Linked DNA regions of Sus scrofa. The protein of the gene in region 1 interacts with the protein of each later gene in a pairwise test. Links are inferred from orthologs where the notes say so. Each region holds a gene or a part of one and is shown in the gene's direction. Other genes may lie near its edges. The genes, in order: FAM161A, SSX2IP, MIPOL1, HMBOX1, CCDC102B, VPS52 and CADPS.

The links.
Region 2: the proteins of FAM161A (region 1) and SSX2IP interact in binary tests that used the Homo sapiens proteins (3 or more experiments, as listed by UniProt). The two-hybrid records come from large-scale screens. The link is inferred for Sus scrofa from reciprocal best matches to the Homo sapiens genes FAM161A and SSX2IP.
Region 3: the proteins of FAM161A (region 1) and MIPOL1 interact in binary tests that used the Homo sapiens proteins (3 or more experiments, as listed by UniProt). The two-hybrid records come from large-scale screens. The link is inferred for Sus scrofa from reciprocal best matches to the Homo sapiens genes FAM161A and MIPOL1.
Region 4: the proteins of FAM161A (region 1) and HMBOX1 interact in binary tests that used the Homo sapiens proteins (3 or more experiments, as listed by UniProt). The two-hybrid records come from large-scale screens. The link is inferred for Sus scrofa from reciprocal best matches to the Homo sapiens genes FAM161A and HMBOX1.
Region 5: the proteins of FAM161A (region 1) and CCDC102B interact in binary tests that used the Homo sapiens proteins (3 or more experiments, as listed by UniProt). The two-hybrid records come from large-scale screens. The link is inferred for Sus scrofa from reciprocal best matches to the Homo sapiens genes FAM161A and CCDC102B.
Region 6: the proteins of FAM161A (region 1) and VPS52 interact in binary tests that used the Homo sapiens proteins (3 or more experiments, as listed by UniProt). The link is inferred for Sus scrofa from reciprocal best matches to the Homo sapiens genes FAM161A and VPS52.
Region 7: the proteins of FAM161A (region 1) and CADPS interact in a two-hybrid assay, tested with the Homo sapiens proteins (2 studies listed by BioGRID). The two-hybrid records come from large-scale screens. The link is inferred for Sus scrofa from reciprocal best matches to the Homo sapiens genes FAM161A and CADPS.

Annotation. Positions count from the first base shown.
Region 1 is NC_010445.4:79,951,482-79,955,577, forward strand, and holds the start of FAM161A (protein FAM161A), read left to right. Parts: upstream 1-1,216; 5' UTR 1,217-1,428; coding exon 1,429-1,635; intron 1,636-4,096. UniProt on the Homo sapiens protein: Involved in ciliogenesis.
Region 2 is NC_010448.4:129,047,712-129,052,046, forward strand, and holds the start of SSX2IP (afadin- and alpha-actinin-binding protein), read left to right. Parts: upstream 1-1,474; 5' UTR 1,475-1,495; intron 1,496-4,335. UniProt on the Homo sapiens protein: Belongs to an adhesion system, which plays a role in the organization of homotypic, interneuronal and heterotypic cell-cell adherens junctions (AJs).
Region 3 is NC_010449.5:62,555,028-62,558,617, reverse strand, and holds part of MIPOL1 (mirror-image polydactyly gene 1 protein), read left to right. Parts: intron 1-724; coding exon 725-955; intron 956-3,590.
Region 4 is NC_010456.5:12,881,048-12,884,637, forward strand, and holds part of HMBOX1 (homeobox-containing protein 1), read left to right. Parts: intron 1-648; coding exon 649-786; 3' UTR 787-3,590. UniProt on the Homo sapiens protein: Binds directly to 5'-TTAGGG-3' repeats in telomeric DNA. Associates with the telomerase complex at sites of active telomere processing and positively regulates telomere elongation.
Region 5 is NC_010443.5:153,930,265-153,934,283, reverse strand, and holds the start of CCDC102B (coiled-coil domain-containing protein 102B), read left to right. Parts: upstream 1-1,187; 5' UTR 1,188-1,429; intron 1,430-4,019. UniProt on the Homo sapiens protein: During interphase, forms fibers at the proximal ends of centrioles to maintain centrosome cohesion. During mitosis, dissociates from the centrosome following phosphorylation to allow centrosome separation. Contributes to CROCC/rootletin filament formation.
Region 6 is NC_010449.5:29,636,295-29,640,535, reverse strand, and holds the start of VPS52 (vacuolar protein sorting-associated protein 52 homolog), read left to right. Parts: upstream 1-1,367; 5' UTR 1,368-1,655; coding exon of another isoform or gene 1,656-1,658; 5' UTR 1,659-2,090; coding exon 2,091-2,180; exon of another isoform or gene 2,181-2,239; intron 2,240-2,960; coding exon 2,961-3,045; intron 3,046-3,198; coding exon 3,199-3,251; intron 3,252-3,422; coding exon 3,423-3,498; intron 3,499-4,207; coding exon 4,208-4,241. Other genes in the region: RPS18 (40S ribosomal protein S18), read right to left, coding at 1,106-1,204, 1,656-1,658. UniProt on the Homo sapiens protein: Acts as a component of the GARP complex that is involved in retrograde transport from early and late endosomes to the trans-Golgi network (TGN).
Region 7 is NC_010455.5:44,480,023-44,484,387, reverse strand, and holds the start of CADPS (calcium-dependent secretion activator 1), read left to right. Parts: upstream 1-1,527; 5' UTR 1,528-2,705; coding exon 2,706-3,149; intron 3,150-4,365.

The DNA of each region.
Region 1 (4,096 bases):
ATTATTAGATACCTGCAAATTTAGAATACTGCTGGTAAATGGAAGGTTTTCTGTCTTTCACATACACATACAATGTGTTTCTCCACACTTACTCCTCCTATTGTATTCTAACCTAGCCTAGCCTAATCTCCCGTTTTCAGTGCTTTAGCATGTAGATCTGCGTTGCTGATTTGGGGCCAGGCTTACAATAAATCCTAGCAAATTCTAAGAGGGGCGCGTGCAGCCACAGGATTAGCTGCATGCAAAGAACTAGAAGTCCCTTCTTTGGTCACTTGGGGCATCCATACTTCAAGGGCTTCCAGCTCTGGCTTCTGCTCAGAATCCAGCCAGAATCTGTTCCAGTGTTCGAAGCAAATGCTCAGCCAAAACAAAAAGCAGCCCGAAGACGGTGAGGGGGTTGGGAATTTTGCAGGTGCTCACGCTCTAGACCAGGCGAACAAGAAAGGCTTGGTATGATGGGCTCAGATCTCAGAGGTTCCAGATATGGAGCGCCGCATACTTAACTTTGTAGTGGTGCGGCAGGTTGAAGGGCCAGGCCTGGGAGGAGGCGGAAGGATAGGGCTGGGGAGGTTGCTGCAGCCTCAGTCTCAGGAAGTAGGGGCTTAGGTAGCTGAGACTGCAACATGCTCGCTATTTTAAGGCTAGGCCCCTCTTACCTGCGAGGGGTGTAGAGCGAAGGCGCCTGCGAAGCACCCAAATTCCAGGTGGGAAAAGTTGATGCGGGAGTGGTGGAGAAGAGGCTTGTCTGTTGTTATCGCTGGGAGCTTGCACACTTGGACCCCACCACTATAAAGCTAATGAACCCAAGCAGCAAACACTGGGTTCATACACCCGCACTGTCACTCACTGGCGAGGTTCTACCCAACTCTGGGCTTTCATTGGTCAGGCGGAAAGTATCGCTAGCCGGATTCGTTGACTTCTGCCAGCTCTCAAGTCAATCAGAGTAGAATGTGAGGCACTCCCTTCCATTCACCCGCTCCACCTCGCGGGAGCCATGTTAGCTAGCGGGGTGCAAACCTTGCCACAGGCCTGAGGCCGCAACACAGTAACATCCCCAGTTTTCCTGTGCCACCGCCGTTTCCTCCTAACATGTTATTTCAATGAATAAAAATGCGCTCCCCCCATAAAAGAGTAACTCATTAGTATAATGTGAGAAGTCTGCGTTTAGGCGGCGAAGCGCAAAGGGAAAGAGGTGCCTTGTTCCGTCCGCCAACGCTCTACGCCAGCAAAGACTCAGTCCTGATTCCCACTATCCAGGAGGCTCCGGGGTTTCCCGAAGCGTGCGCGGGTTTTGAGTGACGTTTGGTCGCTCGCGGCCCCTGTAGCGTCCCTAGTTACCAGGCCCCTAGTAACCACCACTCCAAGCCAGGAGCCGCCGGCTTCCCCGCCCCAGGCCAGCGCGGGCGCTAAGGCCTCGGAGGCGCGGTAATGGCCGCCTCGCACCAAACTGCGAAGCTGGCGGCTGGCAGTCTCCAAACCCCGGTCAGTCCCAACACCGGAGCGCAGATTGCCCAGTACGAACGTAAAGACCCCTTAGAGTCCCTGTCTGCGGCCACGGCGGCCTTGGAGGAGGAGGAGGAAGAAGAAAAGGAGAAGGAAGAGGAGGAGAAGGCAGAGCGGCCGGCGCGGGCGCCGGTAATGCAGGGGCGGGACGTGGGCTGGGGCTGGGCTCAGGCGGGGTGCAGCTGGAGGCTGGTCTGCGACCCCAGTGGTGAGGCGCTGGCTGGGAAATGCGCGCACTATTCGGATCCTCCCTAACCTGGTGAGCCTGGCCCACTGCGTTCTCTCTCCTCCCACAGAAAATGCTCAAAATCGAAGCGTTGAAAAGTCTTTTAATTTTAGCCAGAGATGCAAAATTTTCTTGGAGATTTACGTTTCTCTATTTCTAGAGAGTGCAAAGTACAGAACTTTACTCCTTATGCTCCATCGTCTGTTGGGGGTAGATACAGCTTTTCTTTTTTTTTTTTTTCTTTTCAACTTGAAAATCGATCTCATAGAGGATAACCTATAAAACGGAAGGAAATCAGCTGTGCTGTCAGGTGTGTTTTGTTGTCACCTTGATGTCCTGGTTATTAGTGCATCTTAATACAATACATGAGAGATGGTTTTTAAAACCATCCAGAGTTTAGTGGGTCGATCAGACACAGATATAGTTAAGCCTCCAGAGAAGCGAAGTACTGAGGTTCCAATAAATTATGGTTCCTCAGGGTAGGGTGAGACAGTCTTTTCACTGATCAATTTTCAGTGTCAAATGTGTTGTGAACCCCTGTCCACCAGGTCAAGTCTGCCATCTGCTCTATTCACTTAAAAGGTGGGAATCTTGAATTTTACCTAGCAATCTGCATATATAAACCTCCTTAAACCCAGTTAAAGATTTTTTTTTTTTTTTTTTTTTGCTGCACCCAAGGCATGAGAAAGTTCTCAGGCCAAGGAATCAAACCCCTGCCATAGCAGTGATGACTGGAGATCCATAATCCACTGTCACAAGAGAGCTCCATAAGATTTTTAATACGTTTTGTCCAAACTTTTTCAGATTCAAAATGTTGTGGTCTAGGGCTGATAGAAATCACTGGATATTTTGGATTTCTAATCTCTTTAATCCACACTGTTAATGAGAAAATCTGTAGCAACACTTTTTATAGGTAGTATTTACCAACAGATAAACTACTTGAGGTTATCCAGAGTAATGCAGATTGAGACCATGAAGGTGAACCAGGCCAAGCGACCTAGTACCAAATTCACTCACAGTAACGCTTTCCCTCAACACAAATTTCAGTAGCCAACAAAGGAGACAAAGTCACGAAGGGAAAGGACTCCATATGGATAGAGAAAAAGGATTTGGAGTCCTGGGTTCGGATCTTTTCATTTGCTAGTTGATTTTTTTTTTAAGTATATTTGATTTACAGTATTGTGCTCATTTCTGTTGTATAGTAAAGTGACTTAGTTATACACATATACATTCTTTTTTAAAAAATTAATTTTCCTAGGGCTGAACCCGTGGCATATGGAAGTTCCCAGGCTAGGGGTCAAATCGGAGCTGCAGTTGCCAGCCACAGCACAGCAACACCAGATCCAAGCCGTGTCTGCGACCTAAACTGCATCTTGCGGCAACACTGGATCCTTAACTCACTGAGTGAGGCCAGGGATTAAACCTGTCCTCATAGATAGTAGTCGGGTTCTTAACCTACTGTGCCACAACACAAACTCCAATATATTCTTTTTTAAATATTCTTTTCCATTATGGTTTATCCAAGAAGATTGGCCAGTTGATATTAAGATGTAACTTCCTTCAATCTCAGTTTCCTTATCTGTAAAAGAACTATAATAACTGTCTCTTTCTTGTCTCACTGGACTGTTATGAGAACCAAATGAGAGAATGTATGTCATAACTAAAGGATAGTTTGTGTAAATTAATAATAACAACTGCCAGTGGGACTGTCATTTGAACAATTCTTCCAAAGATTCTGCATTGGCTTGCTGTGGTAGCGGAGTCAGTCATTTCTACAGTTGCAGGTATACTTCCAGAGTGCCCTGATAAATTGCAAATTTGTATTACAAACTTATCACCTGAGGAAAGATTAGTTTGTTTATCTAATGAGCTAGTTTGCAAGGGACAGGATCCTACTGAAAAAAAAAAAAAACAGAAAAGAAGGAAGCTAAGTTACAAGTCTGACACTGTTCTGAGACCACCATACTTGAAGGATCCCAAAGCAAATCTGAACAAGCTGCCACAGTAATAGGCCTCATAGTCAGGGGGCACTGGGGTTGGTGAGCAAAGCACTGAAAAGGCAGGAATGAAAGTACAGGAGCCAAGCTTTGCCTTCTTCACAGTTTGGGTTGGGTTTCCACCTTGATTTTTTTTTTTTTAATTTATCTTATTTTTTGGCTGCACTGGTGGCACATATAAGTACCCAGACCAGGGAGCAAAACTGCGCTACAGCAGTGACAACAGTGACAATGCTGGGTTCTTAACCTGGTAGGCCACCAGGGAACTCCCCTGCCTTGATTTTTTTTTTTTTTTTTTTTTAAGGCCACACATGTGTCATATGGATGTTCCCAGGCTGGGGGTTGAATTGGAGCTGCAGTTGCCGTGCTA
Region 2 (4,335 bases), on another chromosome or scaffold:
CATTATATTTCTATTGGAACATTATTCAATGACATCATTGATTAAGGTTTACAAAGCAAGGAATAAAATCTATCAGGAATCAAGCCTCCAGATTTCTTCTCCACTGAGAACACAGAAAAAGAAATTTGCCTAGTGTGAAATATAAATAATGAAATAAATGGAAATGTATAACTAGGGTAAAATTGAATTGCCAGTTGCAGAATAAAAAGATAAGAACTATTTTTTTTATTGCAACACTTCAGCCTTCTGTACTGAAATGTATATTCCCAAAAACTCTTCACATAAAAGTCTGGGTTTTAAGTAATGACAGGTAAAACTCTTTTAAAGAAAATCCAACATATTAAAATATAATCTTATAGAACGGAGATGATGATAGGAGATTGTTTTACAAAGGTGTCATTCACCATGGACATAGATTTATCATAATTTTAAACATCTAGTTTCACTAGTACATTTAGATTATGATTTGATTGCTAAATACATTATTTAGACATGACTTTTGCTGGAATATATCTATAATATAAAGCAAGTACTAGCCAGAAGACATAGTGCTAGGGCCTGAAAATTTCAAAACAGTAAGTCATTTTGTGCAAAACTGTCTTCATCAATGTATCTTAATTTTTCTGGCCTAAATTGGTAAAGAAGGAAAATATAATTTAGAAAACCATTAATATCTGAGATGCATATTTATAATTCAAAGCATAGACACGGTCCCACATTTTCCTTGCTTCCATTTAATTATTCCATTCAATCAGTCCTTTGTAAAAATCTCCTATACTTCATTTTTCACTGACTTTTTTGCTCACCAGACTGTTTCCACATGTGCCACGTGAGTATATTTGTACCAATAAAATGAAATATCACACCCTTAGGTCACTTCATGAGAGCTCTTTTTTCAATGTGCTCCCAGGATGTTTTTGGTTGGGATCATCAAACAACCTAAACCCTGAAGCTTTATTGTTTACTAAACAGAATGCCCAGGGGAAGAAAGCCCCAAGTGGGCTTGGGAGCTTAGGGACGTTACATGGACCCAGGTAGCTGATCTGGCATTTCAGCCCAGGCCATGGGACTCAAGGGCACTAGTGCACTGTACCTCTTCACAACAATGTCAGACTGTCACTATTCTGTTTTCCTGGGAAACTCTGAGTTTCTGTTGTGAGCAGGGTCTTAAATCATTCAATAAATATGCATTAAACTGTTGAGGAAATTTTCAAATAACAGCAGGGAAACTAAGACTGTGTGAAATAAATGCGTGTTTTGGTGCAGAATTATATCAGAACTATTCAAGTGAATGCTGGATCTTTGTGCTCCGTGGTTTTTAAATTTATTTCAGTATAACTAAAAAAACAGTTTGGGTCATTTATAGTCCCCATACTTCCTGGGAGGGACTTTTGTTGTCTACTCAATGCTCAGAGTTTAAATTTGCAAGCTTAGAAGAGCAGACTGAGTCTAATTGCTGGGTGAGAAGGGTTTAGAGGCCACTGTAGTCAGCAAGGTAAGTTTCTGTGTGTGTGTGTCTTAAATGTGTGTTCATTGCATTTCTTAAAGGAGGTATGCTTTTATCTTGGAAATACAGGGTTTGAGAACTACCTTGGTTGGGTACGTGATCACGTTTCTATGATAGCACCTTATTAACTGTTGGAGTGATTTCCACACAATCAAGTTTTACATGACATATTTTAAAATTAATGAATCTTGGGACAAATGGAGAGTTGGAAACCAAAGCGCTAGAGTCTGGTAAAAATCATGCGTCTCAAAAAAAACAAACCAAGACAAACAAAAACAAAACAACAACAACAAAACCTTTCCCAAAAGGTAGGGCAAAACACGCAGCAGACCAGACAAAAATCTAAAGCACTAAGAGTGGAACACCTAGAAAATGATCAGGCATTTTGTCTGCTGTTCTGTGTGTTTGTGTACGGTGTTGCGGCATGGCAGGTCAGGTAGGGCAGGGTGGCAGGGCAGGTAATGATGAGGAATGGTTTCCTTTTCTGAGAATCTTTACTTGGGTCGAGGTGGTCTGCTTTTTCTGCAAACTCAGCCAGCACTTTATAAATGGCACAGAACTGTTATTTCAAGCTGAACTACTACTGACCCAAATCCAAAGGGACTGGCTAGAAATGAATTGTCTTTGGACATGCAGCAAGATGCAGAGATTCACTCAGCTAGCTAGAAGAGCCAAGCCCAGCTAAATGTAAGACCTCCTTTCAGACCAGGAAAGAGCTAGCGATCTGGCCTCTGCCTACGGGCAGGCTTGCAGAGTGAAAATGGCCCCTAGGCCCTATCCAGGTCCCTCTCCTCCGCAGAGTGATCCCTGACCACTCCAGCCCACAGCAACGTCTCTGAAGTTTTGCTGTCCTTGGAATCGGTCCTGTACTATTTTGCCGTTAATTATGAACAGGGTTAAATTGATCTTGTGGATAAAATGAGGCCATAGGTATGAAAGTTCCCAGTACAGGGAGTTCCGTTGTGGTGCAGTGGTTAACGAATCCGACTAGGAACCATGAGGTTCCGGGTTCGATCCCTGGTCTTGCTCAGCGGGTTAAGGATCCGGCGTTGCCGTGAGCTGTGATGTAGGTCACAGACGCGGCTTGGATCCCACGTTGCTGTGGCTCTGGTGTAGGCTGGTGGCTACAGCTCCAACTGGACCCCTAGCCTGGGAACCTCCATATGCCCGGGAGCGGCTCGAGAAAAGGCAAAAAGACAAAAAAATAAATAAATAAAAAATAAAAAATTCCCAGTACAGATTCCAGCAAGATTTTGTTTATCCTCCCTGCCACCCCTGGAGAGACAGTCCTGGCCACATCAGAGAGTTAATGAAAGTGAGGCCATTAAGTAGCAGCGATTCAGTCCATCTTATCTGCTACAGCATATAGGCCCTAATAAAAAAGGTTGTTGGATTATTAACTTATTACATATATTAACATCAGAGCTTAAAATAAAAATATTTTAAAAAATATAAACTTGTAAAAATTAATGTATTACAGAAGTTAATAGAATATTAAGCTATCTTACCATTAACAGTTTGGTTAGCAACCCTGTAGTGCAGGCACAGAGGGGCTGGGACTACAGAGGCAAACATGACCAGCAAAGTCCCTACCTTCATGGGGCTTACATTCTGGTGGGAGGAGACAGACGAGCAGCAAGCAAACGATTAAACCAATAAAACCAGACCTGGAAAGGCTGCTTTACCTATAGACATGGGATCTGAATGATGAAAAAGAATCAGAGCCTTCCAGGCAGACTGAATAGCACGTTCAAAGAACCAAAGGAGAAAAAAGGGAGCTGCCATGGCTGGCACTTGTGTACAAAAGTGAGAGTTTTAAGAGGGCTATAGGCGCCAGGTCATGCATGCATGAGTGGATAGGAAGTTCAGTTTCATGCTAAACACAATGAGAGGCATGAAAGATTCTTAATTGGGAGAGGGGGCTGAGAGGGTCTGAGTTTCATTTTTGAAAGACTGATCTAATAGAGGCAAGAATGGAAGTCTGCAGAAAGTTTGGAAGGGATTCATTCACACATACACAGAAGCATATAGAGTTTTAAAATACACGTGTGCTTTTCCTGCGACTTGTTACTGGTGCATATTTTTAGAATTCTTCTTTGAAATTATGTTCACAGTCAGTTTACTGTCTTAGACATCAAACACATCTTGTTTTTTGACCTTTCCCTATCCACTCAAATGCAGTAACTTAGTTGGAAAACACAGGTTTGGCATTTTAACACAACTCCAGAATGTGTTCATCAGATTTGGCTCTGAATAACTTCTTCTCAAGGAAAGCATTCTTTTCAAAAAGTCAGTGTCTACCGATGTGATACTTTTGAGCAGCATTATGGGAACATGTATATAGGCTGCCAAGGTGATTTATTTGAAATATAAAACATCCATTAGAAGTCACATTCATTTATTTACCAAGAATTATCTGCCACTAATCACTAAGCACCAAGCACTCTTTTAGACACTGGAGATATATATATCAGTGAACAATCAGAAAAATGCTCTCTCCCTCTCTCCCTGCTTGGCTGACACTCTAGGCAAGGGAAATAGGCCAAAAAAGAAAATTAACAAAGTAAGTAAGTAAGTATTATGGTTGAAGATTATTATAAGAGCAAAGTAAGAAAGATTTAGAAAGCTGGAGGGGTGTTTTTCCAATTTTAAATAATATTTGTGAGGTTGGTCCTCACAAAGAAGGTGACTTTGGTTAGATGTGGAAGGGGAGAGATAAGTAATACAGATGTTAAGGGAAAGAACATTCAAGCAGAGGGAATAGTGCAAAGGTCCTGAGGCAGGAAAGTGACTGGGAAGAATGAGGAACAGTGAGCTGGCAATGGCTG
Region 3 (3,590 bases), on another chromosome or scaffold:
AGGTGTAATGACATATCAAAGATTTGACCTTTAGCATTTTAGGATTCTATTTGTCTGCATTTTCTTCTGCATTCATTTAGTCTTAATTTATATGCTGTTTCTCTGTGTGACTTAATGAGCACATGTATTTGGCATAAGATTCATTAACAAAAAGAAAATATATCTGAATACATATTATTTCTGTGCCGCCTGAGTAGTGATTTTAACTTCATTTATATCTCAACTGTGACAAGTAGAAAATGCCCTGTATAAGGCTGATCAGTATTTGTACAAACCTCATTCATTCTCATTAAGTGTTCAGCCAAATAGACCCTGGATCTACTAAACTGATGCCTGTTCTCTTACTTCTCACTTCTTTGCAGTCAGCTTATTATATTCTTTTATTTACCTAGAGATACTTTATTTTGTAATTCTTTGCTATTACTTTTAAAGAAAATTGAATGTAATATTTACACTGATATAATTAACATCTTGCAGCAACTTTGTGTAGGCTTTGATAGCAAAGCTAATCATTTGTCTGGGTAGCTTTCAGCCTAAAAGCAGAGAAATGGATAATTATCAAGCGTAATATTGTCATACAAAAATTATTTTCATTTGCCCATTTAAGTATGTCTTTATTGATTTTTAGAAGTGGATGTTTCTAACTGGAGATTTTTGTCAAATAGTTATTGGTCAGTCAGCCTCCCTATTTATGTTTACATTATTTATTTTTATATTTTCTCAGTTTACACAAATCCTTATCCCAAGAAGAAAGTCTGAAGGATCAGTTTAACCATACCCTTAGTACCTATGAAGAAGCTTTGAAAAACAGAGAGAACATTGTTTCCATCACTCAACAACAAAATGACGAACTATCTATCCAACTGCAGCAAGCTCTGACAGATCGAGCAAACATGGAATTAGAGCTTCAGCACACCGTGGAGGCCTCCCGAGCAGCCAATGACAAAGTTCAGAAGTAAGTGAAATGACCTTGCATAATTTCAAAAGCATGAAACAAAAAAGAACAAAAGTGCTATCTTTTAGCAACTAAATCATATATTATTTATTATGCATACTGTTAATAGTTGAAGACAAAAGTAGATTGAGCCAGATGAACTTTTTTAGAGTGCCTGTCATATCCATATTTGGGGTCAAAAGTCATTTACTTGGGAATCACAGGTACTATTTAGGATAAACATCTTTATTTAATAAGTGATCTTCATGAGTTCATTCAGGCCATATGATTAAAATTGTTTCATGAGAAATAGGTAGTTATTAGCAATGGGAAGAGGCAGTCAAGTTGCCAGCTTTCCTCATTTAGCTTCACAATAATCCTGCTTGGGTTGAGATCATCTATGACCTTTCAGTCTGAGACCTCTAGCTCATAGAATCCAGGACAGTGAAATTAATTTTCTTATGTTCCTCTTCTGAAGAATTCAATACAGCTTTTCAAAGTATGTGATTATAGTTGTTTATTTTCAGTAATCTTTGTGTCTTTATTAAAGCTTCAGTAAAGCTGCATAATCATAAGTCTTTAATGATAGCCAGCAAAACATTAACATAACTTATCAAAGAAGTCATTTGTTAATTTATGGGACTCGAATACTCTAGCAAAATTTTCTAAGGCAGCTTTAATATAAAAGAACTTGTAATTTTAATTGAGTGCTTCTTTACTTATTAACAGCATTTTGTCATTCACACACATAATCACATTCAATTTCTAAGACATACTTTTTTCCTTAAGTTTTTTTCAGTTTTATAGTATGAAGAAGTTCTTACTTCTCACTACTTTTTATTGAAAATAAGTCATCTCAAGCATTCCCGCAGGATCCTTGAAATTATATTTTGATTAATAGCCCAAGATCAGGTAAATATATAATTGAGACTGTTTTAAACCAGATTAGGAATTATGCATATTAATCTTTATTATCAATGTATGTACCTTGAAACTTATGATTTATGGTATTATGTTTTTTATAGGTTTTTATAAAAGGAGTTCTCTTATAGCAGTTTAAAGATCCAGTATTGTCACTGCAATGGCCTGGGTTGCTGCTACGGCATGGGTTTGATCCCTGGCCCAGGAATTTCCATGTGCTGCAGGCACAGCCCCCCAAAAAATAATAATAAAAATTCTAAAATTAAAAAAAGTAAACATTAAATTTATATTCAGTCAGAAACTATATCAAGTTATTCACAATGTATATTAACATTCTACGAACACCAAGATATATATATATAGGTAGAGCTCATTTCATTGTAAACTATAGATCAGTAACTTTTGACAGTTAAGATCTGATTTAGCTCTATTTGCTTTAAGACTACAAATACTTAAAAATTTCAACTTTTTTTATATGTAATCCTTTAATTTCTCTACATAACTAAAACTCCCTAAAACAGTGTTTCCCAGAGAGCAATTAGATTTCTAAAAAAAAATATTTATAAATGTTGTCAACTTTTTTTTGTCTCATCAGCTATCAGTTTTATTTTGTGAAAGATATAACTTTACACCCCAAGAAATAAAAATAACATTTTCTCAGATAATACTTTAAATAAGTTTAACCTTTTGAAAAACTCACTATACTGTTCTTATTTTTCACATTTAACAACAGACAAATCAAGACTTTTTTCATGGAAATGGCATGGACAATCCATGGACAGAGTTTAAGTGCAACAATTAATGTCTTTTCTTAGAATTAAATGTTAAGTTTTAATTTAAATGTTAAATCTTTTATTCTGATTTCTGGCAGTCAGACCTAGATGAAAGATTACCAGTAATTGGGAGTTCCCATTGTGGCGCAGTGGTTAACGAATCCAACTAGGGACCATGGGGTTGCAGGTTCAATCCCTGCCCTTGCTCAGTGGGTTAAGAGTTCGGCATTGCTGTGAGCTGTGGTGTAGATTGCAGACGCGGCTTGGATCCCTTGTTGCTGTGGCTCTGGCATAGGCCGGTGGCTACAGCTCCGATTGGACCCCTAGCCTGGGAATCTCCATATGCCGTGAGAGCGGCCCTAGAAAAGGCAAAAAGACAAAAAATAAAATAAAATAAAGATTACCAGTAATTGCCTAAGTATTAAATTCAACACTCCACTTCTAATTATACTCTATTATAAAACTATATATGATCATGGTAAAATAAGATGCTTGTGTATCTTCAGCAGTATACCATGGTAATTTAAAAGCTCAGTCTCTGGATTCACAATGCATAAGTGTGTGAACTTAGACATTTTAAAACACTGTGCTGATGTGGACAATAGTATGTGGACAGTAATACTCCTATCTCCTAATGTTGTAAGAATTAGATGAGATTGTACATGTGATGCTTTGAGAGTAGTGTGTGTTGCATAGGCCCTCCTTCTCTTATTACTTCTCTCATATGCACTATCTCATTCCTCAGAAGGGCACTCACTACCTTCGAGGCTAAATGCCTTTATATACATTAATCTCTCTGCTTGGAGCCTTTTGCCCTTTCCCCTCATGATAAACATATTCATCCTATGAGATGCACTGCAGCATAGAAGATAGAGGCAAGCTTCGTCGTCAATCAGCCAGACCTATGTTTGAATCTCTGCTTTCTTGTTATCTCTGAGATTTAGGACAAATTTCTTATCCCC
Region 4 (3,590 bases), on another chromosome or scaffold:
GTGATGCGGAAGGCAAGCTTCACACTCCCTCCAAGTAAGACGCCTGTGCTTCCCTTGTGCAGCTGCCTTACAGCAGGAGACTGCCACACGTATTCTCCCCTAGCCATTTCTGCCAGTCGCACTTTTGTCCTGATGTAATTGAGAGTTTGGGGGTTTTGTTTTTTTACAAAAATGCATTTTTATCCCTAAGATGTTGGTGTCCATAGTTTTGTCTCGTTTTCTCAGTTGAGTAGAGAGAGGACATGAATTCTAATAATCTTTTTGTAATACAAGTACCAATCTGGAATTTAATAGCTCACTAGTTTGGCCTTCAGTAACTAGTGCTGTATTTCAAACATAGACTGATCCAGGTTTGATCATCACCACCAGCAATCTTTCTGATAGAAGAAATAAAATCCTCAGCAGGAAAAAAACTATTTGAATGCTTTTTATTTATTGAATCATAAAAATGCCAACCGGAAGTCTCTGGACTTAAATCCATTCAGTGTCTACTTAAATACATTTCACCTCTCTTCTGTCATGCCCCATCTCCAACTCTGTTTCCTCCCATAAATGTTCTGCCTCCCCTTGCCCCAGCATGCCTTTCTATAAGCTAGAGAATTTTACCAATCCATTAATAACAGTTGTTTCTTATTTCTGCACATCTAGGATGACAGCACTAGCCATAGTGACCACCAGGACCCCATCTCATTAGCTGTGGAAATGGCAGCAGTCAACCACACTATCTTGGCATTGGCCCGACAAGGAGCCAACGAAATCAAGACAGAGGCTCTGGATGACGACTGATCAGAGAGGGTGAACACGAGAAGTTAACTTAGTTTAGACGTAGCACCTTAGCAGACTTTCCTCGGTCCTTAACATGTGTTCTTACAGTATAACTTGCAGTTTCTTGTATGTCAGTTAGCCGTTAGGGTCTTGTTCTGTGAAGATGGCATGGTGCCCTCAGCCTTTGCATATACTCTCAGTATTAATTCCAGTAAATAATAACCAACCAACCAACCAAACTTCCCTCTCCCAGCCCCTGAGGCTAGAAAAATCTTGCTGCTCTGTCTTAGCATTCCAGGAAAGTGCTTCCAGGTATTTAGATAGCCCTCAGTTTTCAAATATTAGGCTACGTGTAAAACCTTGGGTACCTTTAGATTCCTGTAACACTAGTTTGTACCCCTTTTCCTTCCCCAAGACTGGTAGGATGCAAGCTGAGGTAGTGTGGCCCAGGATTGACAGACACCATTTGGGGAGTATCCGCAGAGTAAAAGGAACACTAGAATCCCTCCTCAGCGTGGGAGTAATTGATTTCCAGCTGCAATAAGCCGTGCCTCATAATAGTCACACTGTGGCTAGATTATACTTCTTTGGGTGCTGTGCTAAGAATGTCAGTGGAAAAACTCGATCTCAGATTTTGGTTGATGTTAACATGCCTGACACAGACATCCTTTCCTCTCACAAGCTGTGTGACTTAGATAAAATACTGCCTTCTCCTTTGGGACCATGATTAAAACAAACAGAAAAATGACAAAAAAAAAAAAAAAGTCATTAAAAAAAAACAAAACAGAAAACCCAGCTTGAGAGCATTGGAAAAAAAAAAAAAAACAAAAAACCATGAGCTGAATGTCTAATGGATTTTAAGTCCAGTTCTCAGAACCACTATACAGTATGTGGCACAGCTACGTGCCTGCCTGGAAAGGTGCTGGAGGTCGTCACGGAAGCTGCTTTGCCTCCTGTCTGTGTCCCCTTTCCCTGCTACCAAAAAAAGCTCTTTCAAGGATGGAGCTAAGGTCATAAGTAAGTGAACGAACTTCCAGTCTTTGTATCCATTAACCGAAGCCCCCTCCACATGAGAGGTTATTAGAAGACTTTATAGTGGGATTATGCTGACTGACTATCACAAATGCAAATACTTACCTAAATAGCAGCAGAAAAAAGCAGGGGACGTTTGCCACTTATGTGGTGGGTCTGCGAGATACAACAGGATGTGACTGCTTTGGTGTTCTCTTTACTCTGTCCTTGGAGAGGTGTGAAAAGCTATATTGCTACAGGCAATTTATTTAATAATTGGAAGCCATATTGATAATGGATGTGGTAATATTTGTAAAGTTTAATCTACTTTAAGCAGCAGTAACTAATGGAATTTTTTTCCTTGATCACATATGTAGCACTTTTGTTACTTTTTAAAGATATTTATATTTGATAAATCTTTTTTTCATTTTGAGAATTCAAAATACCAAACAGTGAACTTGGGTTATAAAGTCACCCTGTGATCACCTTGTCATCTAGTAGCAAAATGATGAACTATTCATGCATCAAAGAAAATTACATCTGCTGGCCTTGGATGAAAATGATCTCTTGGCATCTCGATTAAAGGACGTGCTGTCACTGTGGGTAAGAGGAAACAGCCTTCAGTGTGGCAGCGTAGGGTGCGTCTGAAAGAGGCACAACTGCTCTATATTTCCTGCCTCGCTCCATCTCTCCTTCCTATGTACAGAGAAGCCTTGTTTAAAGGGGAATATGGGGCTGGCTATTAAGCAGGGCTTTGTCTGTTTATCCATTACCTGAAAATGATTTCTGAGATTGAAGGAGGGTGCCATTTCCTTACCTCTTCACCCTTCTTCCCCCACCAGATATTTTCAACTTAAAACCATTGAGAGAGAGAGAGAGAGAGAATGACTGACCTTCTTTGTTTTTTTTCCTTCCTCATTAGTGAGATACTGAATATCCGCCAGCTTCTCGCTGGTCTCACTCCTCCACGTAAGGCATATGCTGATGAGCTCGTCTCCGCGTCTGTTAATCCTGCTTACGTCAGTGTAAGGAAGCCTTTGAGAGGCATGAAAATGCCACCTTATATGGGTCTGTGACTTTATATAGAGTTATAGGCAGGACCTGGGCCTGCTCCTGTCCATGGATTTCAGGGGGAAAATGTACATATTTTTTTCCAGCTTTCAAGAATTGAAGTAAAATGGAGCAGTCTTTTCTGTTTTACTATATTACTTGAACCAACAAATTCAAGAGTAGCATTCGTTATTCTCAGGAATGATCCCCCCACTCATTTTCTTGCTTGGTGCGTTTGACTTTTTATTTCAATTAGGAGATTGTTATCTTTCTTTCCTTTTATATTATTTAGAGAAAATATACCATATCTTTCCATTGTGGTGGAATTTTGTCTGCTTATTCTCAGTTGAATCAGAAAGAAAAGGAGAGGGAAAAATACACTGTCTGACAAGCCACATCCATGATTTATTGTAAGGAGATTATTATAATTGATAGCTTCTTTATGATGGGATGGCTAGTATCATTTGTTCTTGCTGGTCCTTGTAAAGAAGCAGACTCTTAACTGTTAAGGCAGCTGCGGTTTCTAAAGAAATACAGTGATTGCCAGAGAAGAGCTAAAAGGTTTCATTGTTTCCAGACCTTTAAGGAAGGAAAGGAAGCTTCAGAGAATAAGAGAGAGTGAGTGTCCATAAGGGGAGTACCAGGTCCTACCTGGAAATCTGGGAACGTGAAAGGGCAGGTCTGCCGGTGCAGGTAGCATTGCCTTGGGTTCAGTAGGAACCGCAGGAAGGAGTCTGTGGTGGTTCTGTTAAGTTACAGAAGGC
Region 5 (4,019 bases), on another chromosome or scaffold:
CTGAACTAAAAGGGAAAGTCATTGGCATAACTGAAACTGACTGAAGAATTGATATTTACAATCTCATGGTGAAAAATCCAGACAAAAGGGAGAGCTCAGTGAAAGCGAAGAGAGTATGGTGATGGAGCACATTTCCTGAAAAGACAGAACGAAAGGAAACCTCAAAGGCTTAGTTTACGTTCTGTGGAAGATGGTCACCCTCTCCATTGCACCAGGAAGTAAGGAGGAAAGGATGCTGTTAAGCAGAAATAGATGATGAGTAGGTTATTCAGCTAAGAACACTCCTCCAAAATAAGAACGGAATAAAAATAAAATAACTTGAAGATATTAACTCCCCAATGTTGCTATTTTCATGCTATTTATAAGGATACAGTGATCTAGTTTCTTTTGCCCTGTCCTCTTTTTCTTGGGTGTTCTATTCTGTTTCAACTGGAGAAGCTCTCTTTTATGTGGTGTGACATCACCATTCATCATTATGCCTCCTGACAGCTGCATCAAGTCACTGCAAAGTCACTCTGGTTCCCCCCCTCCCCCTCCCCCTGCCAGGGACAGGAGCCAGAGACCTCTTTTGGGGGCCCTAGAGAGCTCTCTTGGCAGCCCCAGAGAATGCAGCTCATAATTTTCCCAAAATGACTGGAAACAAAGATTTCAATGTATAGTTTTTGTGTCTTGATTTCTATACTGAAAGTTTATTAAATATTTTTTCTTTTTCTTTTGGGGGCAATCTAATAAAAATCATTTTGGACCAGTGATATTTCCTATTGTTCCTGTAATCTGCAGCATAATTTTTCTTTAAATCTATTGTAGATAGATATGTTATGATTTGATTGGCTTTTTCTTCTCTTTTTTTTTTTTTTTGGCCCATGGCACATACAAGTTCCCAGGCTAGGGATCGAACCTTGCTATGGAAATGACCTGAGCCACTGCAGTGACAAGGCCAGATCCTTAACCTGCTGTGTCACAAGGGGACTCCACATTATTAGTACTTTGGCTTTGCCACTTTATTTTTTCTATTACTATTGCAAGTTATACAAATATTTTTTCTATTACTATATACAAGTTATTAAACAAATACACTGGTGGATGAAAGGGTGGGTGGTTTCTTCCTTTTTCACTCACAGCACAGTTTGAAATAATTTGTGTAGAGACCATTGAATAGCCATATCCATGAGTTAGGGAATAGTAAAATGATTTCATTTTGGATAGTTCACTTGTGATCCACAAAGGGTGTTGTTGTATTGGTTTTGATAAAACTTCACAGCCAATGGGAATCTTTTTCAAGTTAGTGTGGAGTAGCCTTAATGCTGGAAATAATCCTGTTGGCCAGGACCCCAGAGCCATACAGATGAAAAAAGGATGCAGGAAACTCTGTTGTTTACACATGTGTCTGTAACACTGAGCCGCTAGAGCAGCCCAGCAAGCCCAGAGGGTAAGATGCTTAATAACCTTGTGGTTTTCTGTTTAATTTTTATATTTTCCTGGTGGGGCCGAGTGTGCGGTATTCTCAGAGCAAAGAGAAAGACAGTTGCTTATAAGATGCAGAACAAAACTACTGTAGGTCTGAGAAACAGGGATTTAGAGTTTCTTCTTAAAGTGGACTTGATTTCTTCCATCCCTCTTCCATTTTCCACGTTGGTATTATTTATCCTAACAGCTTGTCAGACATTTCCTTTTTTTTTTTTTAATAACTGTATACTAACAAAGGTAAGATTTTCAACTCTAAATTTAGACAGTAATATGATATGTTGGTAATAAAACTTATTTTGTTGCTCCAAACTAATATGATTTAGTCATTGTGTTTGAAGTAATCTATATTCTTAGAGTAAAAATAAAATAGAATTGTTATGCAAATCCTCAAGTTTATTCCTCATTCATTTAGAGTTCTCATTTTGCTAGTCTGCATGCTGAGTTTCTATCACTGTTCACAAAAAACTATACTTCCAACTCAGCCCTAATCTTGATTTCTTGATATAAGTTATCTGGGTGTGGAGAAATACATAGCATAAAATACTAAAAGCTTTCACATAATAAAATGAAATAGGCATTTAACTCTAGAGAAAGTAATTACAGAATTGAAGAAAAAAAATCTCTGGAAACCATTGGCAGTATTGTTTATGTTTTCTGCAAAGATAAATTATGAAATGAATGTTGAGTGGGTAAATCTGTTAAATAGAAATATAAGAGAGATATCCTTCAAAAATACAATTAGAACATGTTACATACGGCATTGAAATATTCAGATATATTTCTTGATATTCTCATTTACGTAAACATTAGTTTTCCTATTTTCTAAAATTATCTGAATACTCTTTTGCTAATATTTTTATGGGATAGGGTATTGCTACAACTTTTAATTTTTTTGCTGTTCATCATTTTATTGTCAAATATCCTAACACAGAAATTAAATGGTCTTTAATTTCTAACTTTTCTCCATATTTTTACTTAATATGGAAGTGAATCTTGAAAAATTAGTGATACAATACCTGTACGAGCTTTGTGTGATTTTGCAACATTGATTTAAAATATCAATGTCTACTTGAATCTTTAGGAGAATGTTTTATATGAATTCCTTTTTTCCCCAAACCTTTAAAAAATATTTTTCTTGTGTGTTAAATATCATTTAGTAGTCTCTCCTTTGCACTCTTCATTTGTTTTGATTGTATTCAGTATTTGCTTGATCTCTGGGACATAACTTCCAGGTACCTCACATGGGTGTGGCCTTGAAATTTGTGAGGGTTCCATCTAATTATTGGAGCCACACATATAATGACAATAATTATTTAAACTAGAAAGTGATCTTAGGCCATTTCCATTTGAAGAAGAAGTATATCTCCCATGCTTATATTACAGGGGCAGTTGAATTCTGTCCTATTGCCAAAACCTTCAAAATTTCCTTTTTAGTAAGATTTTAGAGAAGCCTTGAAAGAAAAGTCTGGCTATGTAAGTTGAGACTTAAAAAATTAGAGGAATTTAGATAGTTGCTGAAAAGCAAAAAGACTCTTCTACTTTGTAGAAGTAGTTGAAGCAAAGGGTTTTGAGGCTAAATTAATCTAAACCAGGAAGAGTAGGGATGAATAATCCACCTTATTGGAGCAGAAAAAAGTACACTTTGTGAGGAGCAGACATTGTGTTCAAATATAGAGCTGGATAGAGTTGTGGCGCATCTTAAAACTCATATAGATTAATTTTGTCTGTATACAATTGGGGCAAATGCAAGTTTCTGAGGAGATGGAGTATTTTTACTCCTCCTCCTCTTTCTTCATCATCTTCTTCTTCATCATTGGCAATACTGCCAGCACGTAGTTGTACTTCTGTGTACAAGATAATTTACATACCATTTTGATAGATGTGTGATCAAATTAACTTCATCTCACATGTTATCTTTATTTTACACATGAAGGGCTCTGATGTTCAAAAATGTCAAATGATTTCTTGAAAGCCACAGATATAGTAAGTGGAGCCAGGATTCCAAACAATGTCTTTCTGGCTTCAGAGCTGTTCCACTATGTTGCACTGGTATTTTAAGAATGTGAATCTGGTAGGAGTTAGCAGGATGGTTTGGAATGGGCATTGGGGTAACAGAGTGCAGGGAGGAGGTTGTGAGAAAGTAGGCAGATTGGTTCCAGCATTTGTAAACCTAAACTGATCACAGTTCCCTCAGATGGTCCATTCTTGCCTTTGGTAATAGAAAGAAGGAATAGATACTGAAAATAAGCAGTGTTTACATTTAATTGGCTGTTCTCATATTCAATTCTTATGCTTTCCTCTTTTTTTCATTTTCTTGAATGTTTTATTCACATTCAAAAATATATATTTTGATTTCTGAAAGGAAGTTGCATCTCTGATTTTCATCTAATATTACTTATTCACAAATAAAATATGTGAAGTGACTGGAAGTGATATTGGGAACATACTGGATCCCTTTGTTTCTCTTTGATGGTGTGATATGAATGGATGCCTAGTGACCACACCTTAAAATTATGGAGAGACTCAATTATGACCAAAGAAAATTATTCTGT
Region 6 (4,241 bases), on another chromosome or scaffold:
GTGAATGTTGCAATAAAGGGAGCTACACAAAATCTGTTTGTTTTCCCAGTGCATGTAAGTTATGTAGGTTATTAAGTGAGCAATAGTCTTAACGTTAAAAAAACATACATACATGCCTTAATGAAAAGATACTTTATTAAAAAGTGCTAACCATCATCTGAGCCTTTGTGCAATAGTAACAAAAGTCAATGACAATGGATCGCTGTAACAAATATAACAATGAAAATGTCTGAAATATTGTGAGAATCACCAAAATGTGACAGAAGACACCAAGTGAACAAATGCTGTTGGAAAAATGATTTGCTCAAGACAGGGTTGCCACAAAAAAGAGGTTATCTGTAAAGTGCAATAAAATAAGCCTCTACTGTGCACCGCCTTACTAGTTTCACAATAGAAGGAAGCAGTCTCCTCATGCACCACTTAAGACCGAAAGTTGTGCACCCTGAATTACAGAATGAAAAGAATTCAAAGTAAACATGATGGCTCTTATAAAGCAAAGCTTGTGATTCACCATTTTAAATTAACAACCTATCTATAAAATACTTACTGTGGTGTCCTTTGGGGATTGTGAGCAAGAAAGGCTTAGCCCTGGCACCACATAACATAAACATACTGGTAAGGTCATTTTTTTATGTTAGTTAAGCCTGTGCTCACTGACCTTGTTATGAAATAGTGACCCCCCCCCCATTTCCTGGTTTCTTCATGCTTGGAATCTCTTGGCCTTTCTACTCTCCCTTCAGAGTGTACCATTATCCCATTTCCAGGACATACACATTTCACAAGAATTGCTCTTATGATGCACTAGGAGGAGCAAAAACCTATATAGCAGGGACCTTATAAGTTGACTGCTGATGGTCCAGGCCGGTTTAGTGAACAAATGCTGGCAGACAACCAAAGCCTTTCCCCAACCCCTAGGTGAAAACAACTTTGCTTCACCTAAGACGGTTCTTTGGCTTTTACCACTTACCTTTTGCGGCAAATGTGGCAAGGGCTTAGATGGACCCTGACCATTGTTTTTACCCAGCAGCCCAGGTGACACGGTTGAGACTTTCGCTTACACCTCAGGTGTTTACCCAAGTTTCCTTCACACCCCCAGCTCCTTTACCTTAATCGCAGTGATAGCAAAGGCAATTTTCCGCCGCCCATCGATGTTGGTGTTGAGTACTCGCAAAATGTGCTGGAACTTCTCAGGGATTACTAGAGACTGATAGAGATGGGGGGAGATGTCAGACTTCGCTAATTCCCGCCAAACCGTTAACCCCAAACACGAGCGTGAAGCTTGTCACGCAAGGTGCAAAGAGCCCCCGTCAGGTCTTCACGACACAACACGACTCCCTGGTCCTGCCGACAGCACAACAGGAAGCGTCCAGGATCGGAGAACGCCATCTCCGGAGGAGAACGCCTCCTGCCCGCTCCCAAGCGGCGGGACGGAGGGCCCACGCGCTCCCAAGCCTTCCCAGAGCCCGGGGAGCGCTCATCCTCGGGCCCCGCTGCCTAGAACTGGGTGCTTTGTCGTCCTTCTCCAGGAATGAGGCCCAAGGCTCCACACAAAACGCTGCGAGCCCCCAGGCCAGGACATTTTCGGCGCTCTGACAGCAAGCCTTCCCTGTCCCGGCTCCGATGTCGCCAGATACCCGAACGAACCCAACTCTTACCATGGCTGCAGCGCGGGCGGCGGCGTGTAGGCCTCCAGTGGAAGAGAGAGCGGAAGTGACGTGACATTCTTATATAGCTTCCAGGCGGAAGAGGCGGAGCGACCTTGGCGAAGCGCTTCCGGAAACTCCTTGTACCTGAGCCGGCTAGGCCTCTGAGTCAGAACTGCGCGCCACAACTTCCGGTGCCGTCTCTCTTTACAGATCGTAAAGTTTTTGCGCGTGAGAGCCACGAGAGTTCCGGGTTGAGATTCTCTTTTTAAGACTTTCAGTTTCCATTTGGACTTGGGCGAAGAGCTTAGAGAAAAGGGGAGAGCTAGAGGCAGTCTGTTTAACTCAAATATCTGGGAACGGTTTCGTGCATCACGCCCCAGAACTTGCAGTTCCACTCAGGGGAACGGACCTGCCCGACAGCTGCCGGAAGTGGGGCTGCGCGGAATGGCTGCCGCTGCTACCATGGCGGCAGCCGCCCGGGAGCTGGTGTTGCGGTCCGGGGCCTCAGATATGGAGGAGGAGGAGGGCCCACTGGTGAGGACGCAGGGCTGTTTCTCCTCCAGAGTCTCGTCCGGTCTTCTCACGTCAGAAAGGTCTGGGCTGGGTTTCGCGCAAGGTTGGGAGCTCGGCTGCTACCGGTGATGCTGCCTGGTCTGGCTCTCCATACCCCTCCCCGGATCGGACCTGGACCAAAGTGGGGACTAGAATGGCTGATACTTAGGTTCTGGGGCCACAGTTTCAGTTAAACTCCAGATATTTGCGCAGGATAGAGAAGCGGTGTAGAGTAAATGCTAGGAACATGGCCAGACTGCCTCGGTTCTAATTCCAGCTCAGCCACTTATGCTGTGTGTGTTTGGGCAAGTTAACTAGCCTCTCTGTGTCATCACTCTTAACACTTATAAAGTGAAAAAATAAGACTTACTGTAGAGGTTGTCGGTTAGGATTAGGTGAATGTAGGATGACACCTGGCACGATGGTGAACACTGTGTTAACTGACATTTCTAGAAAGGCTGGAGCTCCCCACGGGGATTGTAACAGAACATCTAAGATAGAAGGAGTCTGGAGACCCTAAGTTCAACTGCAAGTTCTGCTCTGTCCCTGCATCTCCTAATTTTCCTCATTTGGTCACCTCTGTGGGTTTGCTGGCTCCTTGTCATATTCCCTACCCATCAGCCCCAATGAGTAGATTGGGACAATATGAGATTTTGGAATTTTTTGGACTCAGCATTTCTCTCTGGTTTCCCAGTGAAAGTCCTCTCTCCCCATTATATTTTGTTCTCCCCCTCCCTTTCCCATTAACCTGCCCCTCTCCAGGGGGGTGGTCCAGGTCTCCAGGAGCCACTGCAACTTGGAGAGTTGGACCTCACCTCTGATGAATTCATCCTGGATGAAGTTGATGGTAAGTGATGGCACGAGGTGGCCGCAGTGCCTGTCATCTTAAGAGGCATGGGGGCTGGAGGTAATAAGGCAGGAATTGGTGTGCAGATGTTCGGATGTGGGTAGCGGGCGCTGTGGAGCCCTTTGGACCCTTATGATAAACTTCTCTTTCCAGTTCACATTCAGGCAAATCTGGAGGATGAGTTAGTAAAGGAAGCTCTTAAAACGGTGAGGTTTTCTGCTCTCCTAATCTGCCCCTCCACTCACCCTCCCCTCAAAGAAGAAAACAGTCTCTTCGTGTAATATCTTAATGTCTTCTCCCCAAATCCTTTGTTGACTTTGTTGCAGTGTCCCTTCTCTGACTGCCCCCCCCAACCCATCGTGTTTATGCTCTTCCAGGGTGTGGATCTCCGTCACTATTCAAAGCAGGTTGAACTGGAGCTACAGCAGATTGAGCAGAAATCCATTCGTGATTGTATCCTCTGGCAGAGGGAAGGGTGGTGTTACTAAAACGGGCGTTTGGGAGTTCCCATTGTGGCTCAGTGGGTTAAGGACCTAACATAGTGTCCTTGAAGATTCGGGTTCACTCCCTGGCCTCGTTTAGTGGGTTAAGGATCCAGTGTTGGAGTTCCCGTTGTGGCGCAGTGGTTAACGAATCTGACTAGGAACCATGAGGTTGCGGGTTTGGTCCCTGCCCTTGCTCAGTGGGTTAACGATCCAGCGTTGCCATGGGCTGTGGTGTAGGTTGCAGATGCGGCTTGGATCCCGCATTGCTGTGGCTCTGGCGTAGGCCAGCGGCTACAGCTCCGATTAGACCCCTAACCTGGGAACCTCCATATGCTGCGGAAGCGGCCCAAAGAAGTAGCAAAAAGACCAAAAAAAAAAAAAAAAAAAAAAAGGATCCAGTGTTGCTGTGAGCTGTGGCCTAGGTCGAAAATGCAATTTGGATCTGGTGTTTCTGTGGCTGTGGCCGGCAGCTGTAGCTCCGACTCTACCCCTAGCCTGGGAACTTCCATATGCTGTGGGTGCGGCCCTAAAAAAGAAGAAAAAAAAAAGGAGTATTTTGTGGGGCATGGTGCTGACAGCCCCGCCACAGCTGCCCTCCATCAGCTAAGAGAGAAGGAGAGGTCCTGCTGGTCCAAGGAGCTCTATCTGCACAGTAAGGCCTTGACTTTTGTGGTCAGATATCCAAGAAAGTGAGAACATAGCATCTCTGCA
Region 7 (4,365 bases), on another chromosome or scaffold:
AATTTTTTTTTAAGTCTCTTTGATTAAGGAGTCATGGCTGTATTCTCCTGAGCAGAGGGTTAGAATTATCTAAGTAATGTCATATATAATACCCAAGTCATAGGTTTATATGATTAATGAGAGGTAGATACCAAGTTTATGTTTTAATGAATATAACTGCAAAACTCCCACAAAACTCCAGAAAAATTGTAAAAATACTAACCGAAACAAAACTTTCTTACACTGATTGAAAAATTCCAATTGGTTCTAAAGACAGAACTGGTGCCTACTATGATGATACTTAAATGCCTTATCTTTCTTAAAGAAGCATTATCTAGTTAGTAAATGGCTTTGTCTGGTCTTCAGGAGCAAATCGCCATTCTCCATAGCTAATGATTTGTGATTTGTTTCTTTGTGTCCTAAAAATGACCCTCCCATATGACCAAATGGATTATTTCAACTTTTTTTCCTCCTCACTTTTCCCTTTCCTGCTCCCATACCACACCCCCCATAGCACTCTGTACTTTTGTTGGCCCTTGTCCTGTCACTATGGCTTTGCAAATCACTTTTTCCATTTGTAATATCTTCCTTTTTACCATTTATTCTTATGTTTCCTATCTTTAAAATTTAACTCTCTTTTTTTGATTCTCTTCTATTCCCAGTTGCTTCATTTGAGCAAGCTTTTAGCAGTTTACTAAGTTAAATTTATTGATATATTGCCTTGAAATAAGTGCTGTCAATCTTTTTTATGAGTTTATGTTGTATTTCCAAAGGGAGATTATAGACTCTTTAAGAGAATGTCTTCTAAAATTCCCACTTATCCTTAGGACAATAGTCATTTCATAAAAAGATGCTGACTAAAGGTTGATTGATTGAGTGATTGGCCTACTATATTTCCTCTTCCGGGGAAACCAGTACAACATAATTTGAACATCTTTTACTTCTTTAGAAAAATTTAAAAGTGAGAACTGCCAAAGTGTAAAAATTTCCACATTGCTGGGTTACTTATTTTAAATAATACAGAATGTATAATGACCACAGAAGTTTTGCCCTTGAGGTGAGTATGGTGGTGAAGTCAAGTATGAGCCCATGCATATATTACATAATTTTAAAAATTAAACAGATTGTTAGAATTAATGTGGAACTAGATGCTGTTTTAAATTCATTTTTAAGTCTCAGACTAGCTAGAAAGCTTTTCTTGAATATCAAAGCCTACAGTAAAACTCATGGTAAAATTTAAAATACATAAAAACAGATGTGATATAAACTTTAAATTCACACTACACTTTAACAATAACTCCCACGAGTATCTACGAATAATTAGAGCCTTGAAAATACATAAATGTGGGAGATAGGGTGAGGGGAAATGAAGAGAGGTCTCAAGATAGCTTAAGACCCAAGGGTGGATGGTCCTGGTTTATTTTCAATCCATCTGAGGGTCGCTGATTAGATTCAGCACGCTGGCTAGCTCCCCCCGACCGCTGGGTTTATTGGCTTAAGTGAAAGCAGCACGGGGAAGGAAGGCACCATCTGCTGCTTTGAATTAATAGATAACCCAGAGGCAGGAAGGAAAACGGTGCGACAGTCAGCGCATTAGTTGTTGATGCCTGAATTCTTAGGGTGTCTTTATCTGATCCACTCCTCCACCCAGATCTTCCAGCGAGCCAGAATGGAGGAAGGACTAAGCAATCAGAAACCCTTCTATTTCTGTGGTAGGCTCACCTCAGCATAAAGTATTACTAGTTCTCGGAATTGAAAATTGTTCATCATAGCTTTTGCGGGGTAGACAAGGGGAGGGCTGCTAGTTAAATAGTTAAGTTGCATGCTCAAATTTGATTCACTTTTATTTTAATGAGAATGTGCGTATGTAAATTGCTGGCATCAGAGTTTACACAGGTGGGACAAACAAGCTGCGCAGCCTCACTGCCCCAGGTATGAATAAAGCTGTGGATTTAAAAAAAAAAAAAAAAAACAGTTTTTTTTTCCCCTAAGATCTCGCCGACTTCCTCTTAGACCTCTGAATTTAGTGTCTCAAATAGCCCACTCTTCGCTGACAAGAAGTAATCACAGGATTTGTTTATTTCCTCCTACCCCCCGAAACTTTTTGTCCGCGAAGGGGGGAGAGAGGTCGAAGCCTGGAGAGCTGGGCGTCAAGGAGGAAATTATCCAAGAGGGGATGGGGGTGAGGAGGGCGGGAAAGCATTAGGGTCAGTACGGAAGCTCTGAGACTTTGGGGACGCTCCGCGCTCTCCCCGCTCCAGCCCTCTGCAGCCACCCTTTACGCCGCGGACACGGGAGAGTTAAGCCAATAAACACGTAAGCGCCGCTCCCTCCCCAATCGGCAAGATGCCTCTTCGGCTCTAGGCTGCATCGACAGCTTGCAACACTCGGCATCTTTTCTGGAGGCGCCTCCTTCAGCGGCTGCAGATGGCATCCGGCTGAGGGCTCGGAGCTCGCAACTGACTCTTTCCCTTGCCCACCTCGGGTCCACGGACGCAACTCTCGCTTCCCCTCCTCCCCTCGTGCTCCTGGGTCTGAGCCCAGCTGGCGATCATCAGGCGGAGGAAGCAGTCGAGCGGCGGCCGAGGCTGAGCATCAGCGCGCTCGCTCCCTGATTTGGGGAGAAGCGCCCATCCCGGAGAGCCGACCCCCAGCCGCCTCCAGCGCCCCCCACCTTTTGCACCCCAAGCCAGGGGTTCCAAGGACCCCTCTCCCCAGGCGCCACCATGCTAGACCCTTCTTCCAGCGAAGAGGAATCGGATGAGATCGTGGAAGAGGAAAGCGGCAAGGAGGTGCTCGGCTCGGCCGCGTCCGGGGCTCGCCTGTCTCCCAGTCGCACCAGCGAGGGCTCGGGCGGCGGCGCCGGGCTGGGGAGCGGCGGCGGTGCCGGCGCCGGGGCCGGGGTGGGCGCCGGCGGCGGCGGGGGCAGCGGCGCGAGCAGCGGCGGCGGGGCCGGGGGGCTGCAACCTAGTAGCCGTGCAGGTGTCGGCCGGCCCTCCAGCCCCAGCCCGTCGGTGGTAAGCGAGAAGGAGAAGGAGGAGTTGGAGCGGCTGCAGAAGGAGGAGGAGGAAAGGAAGAAGAGGCTGCAGCTCTATGTGTTCGTGATGCGCTGCATCGCCTACCCCTTCAACGCCAAGCAGCCCACCGACATGGCTCGGAGGCAGCAGAAGGTAGGTGCGCCGGGGAGGCCGAGGGAGCAGCTCCGGGACGTCGCCAGGCGGGCGGGGCGAACAATGGGAGCTGGCGGCGCAGCTGGCGAGTAAGAGACCGCGCCCTGGGGAAGGAGCTAAGAGGGTACCTCCCCGAGGCCGAGCCCCGAGCCTGGAGCAAGCCAGGAGCTGCCCCGGACCAGCAAGGGGCCGGGAGCGCATAGCCTGGGCCCTGCCAGTGAGCGAGGCGAGCAAGTCCGGCTTTGTGACCCCCTAGGCTCGGGGAGTGACTAGCAGCCCCGGCTCCGTGAGAGGCCTGGCTCGCTTGCCCGGCTCCCAGCACTCTTCAGCGGCGGGCGGCTGCGCTCAGCTCCGGGCCCGCCCTCCTGGGCGTGCGCTGGGCAAGCGGGCGGGGGCGCCTGGCAGGTGGGGGCTCCGGTGAGGAGCGAGGAGAGCGCCTCCGAGCCGCGCTCCTGCAAACCCGGGCGGAGAGCAACCGCAGGGGCAGGCGGGAGAAAACGAGCCCGGAAGGCGAAGCTTCCCTTGACTCTGCGAAGGGCACCCTCCTACCTCCGCCCGGGTCAGCTGATTGCCAACTAGGGTTGCCTCGGGGTCCCTGGACCCCGCTTCCCCCTGGCCAGGCTTCGCGCCACTCCCTTGCTCCTGCTCCCGAACCCCAGAGCTGGGGCGCACCCTCTGGTCCTTCAGCCGGGGTCAGCTCCCACTGCCTTCCTCCCTTTGACCCTTTTCTCTTCATCCCAAGGTGACTTCGCCGCCACCTTCTGGCTCTCCGATGCTCTCCAAGCCCTGCCGCTGCTAGCTTGAAAAAGTGCAGCAGCAAAAAGCCTCGCAATTACAAGCATCAAAAGCTTTTTGTGTCTGAAGCTAGGGCAAGGCTGAGGCGGTTTCGGGCTACCTTTCATGGGAACAAAAGTGCATATTTCTATCAGTTGTTCTCCAGCCAGAGAAAGGAGTTGTTAGTTACTGCAGGTTGAGGGCCAGTGGCGGCGAACCGACTAGAAGCGGTCAGCTACCCAGCTGCAGTAAGTTAGTGAAGAAACTGTTCTGTCTCTTTTAGATGAATCTGAAGCAGCTGAAGTATCAGAAACGCTAGTTAAACCCCTAGAGGGGCGGTTAAAGCCAGCGGTAGCCCCATCAAGGTTGGAAGACCAGTTTTTTAAACTAGTGAATTTCTCCGTTGTTGTCATTTAAGGCTGAATTATATGTTGTGTGTAGT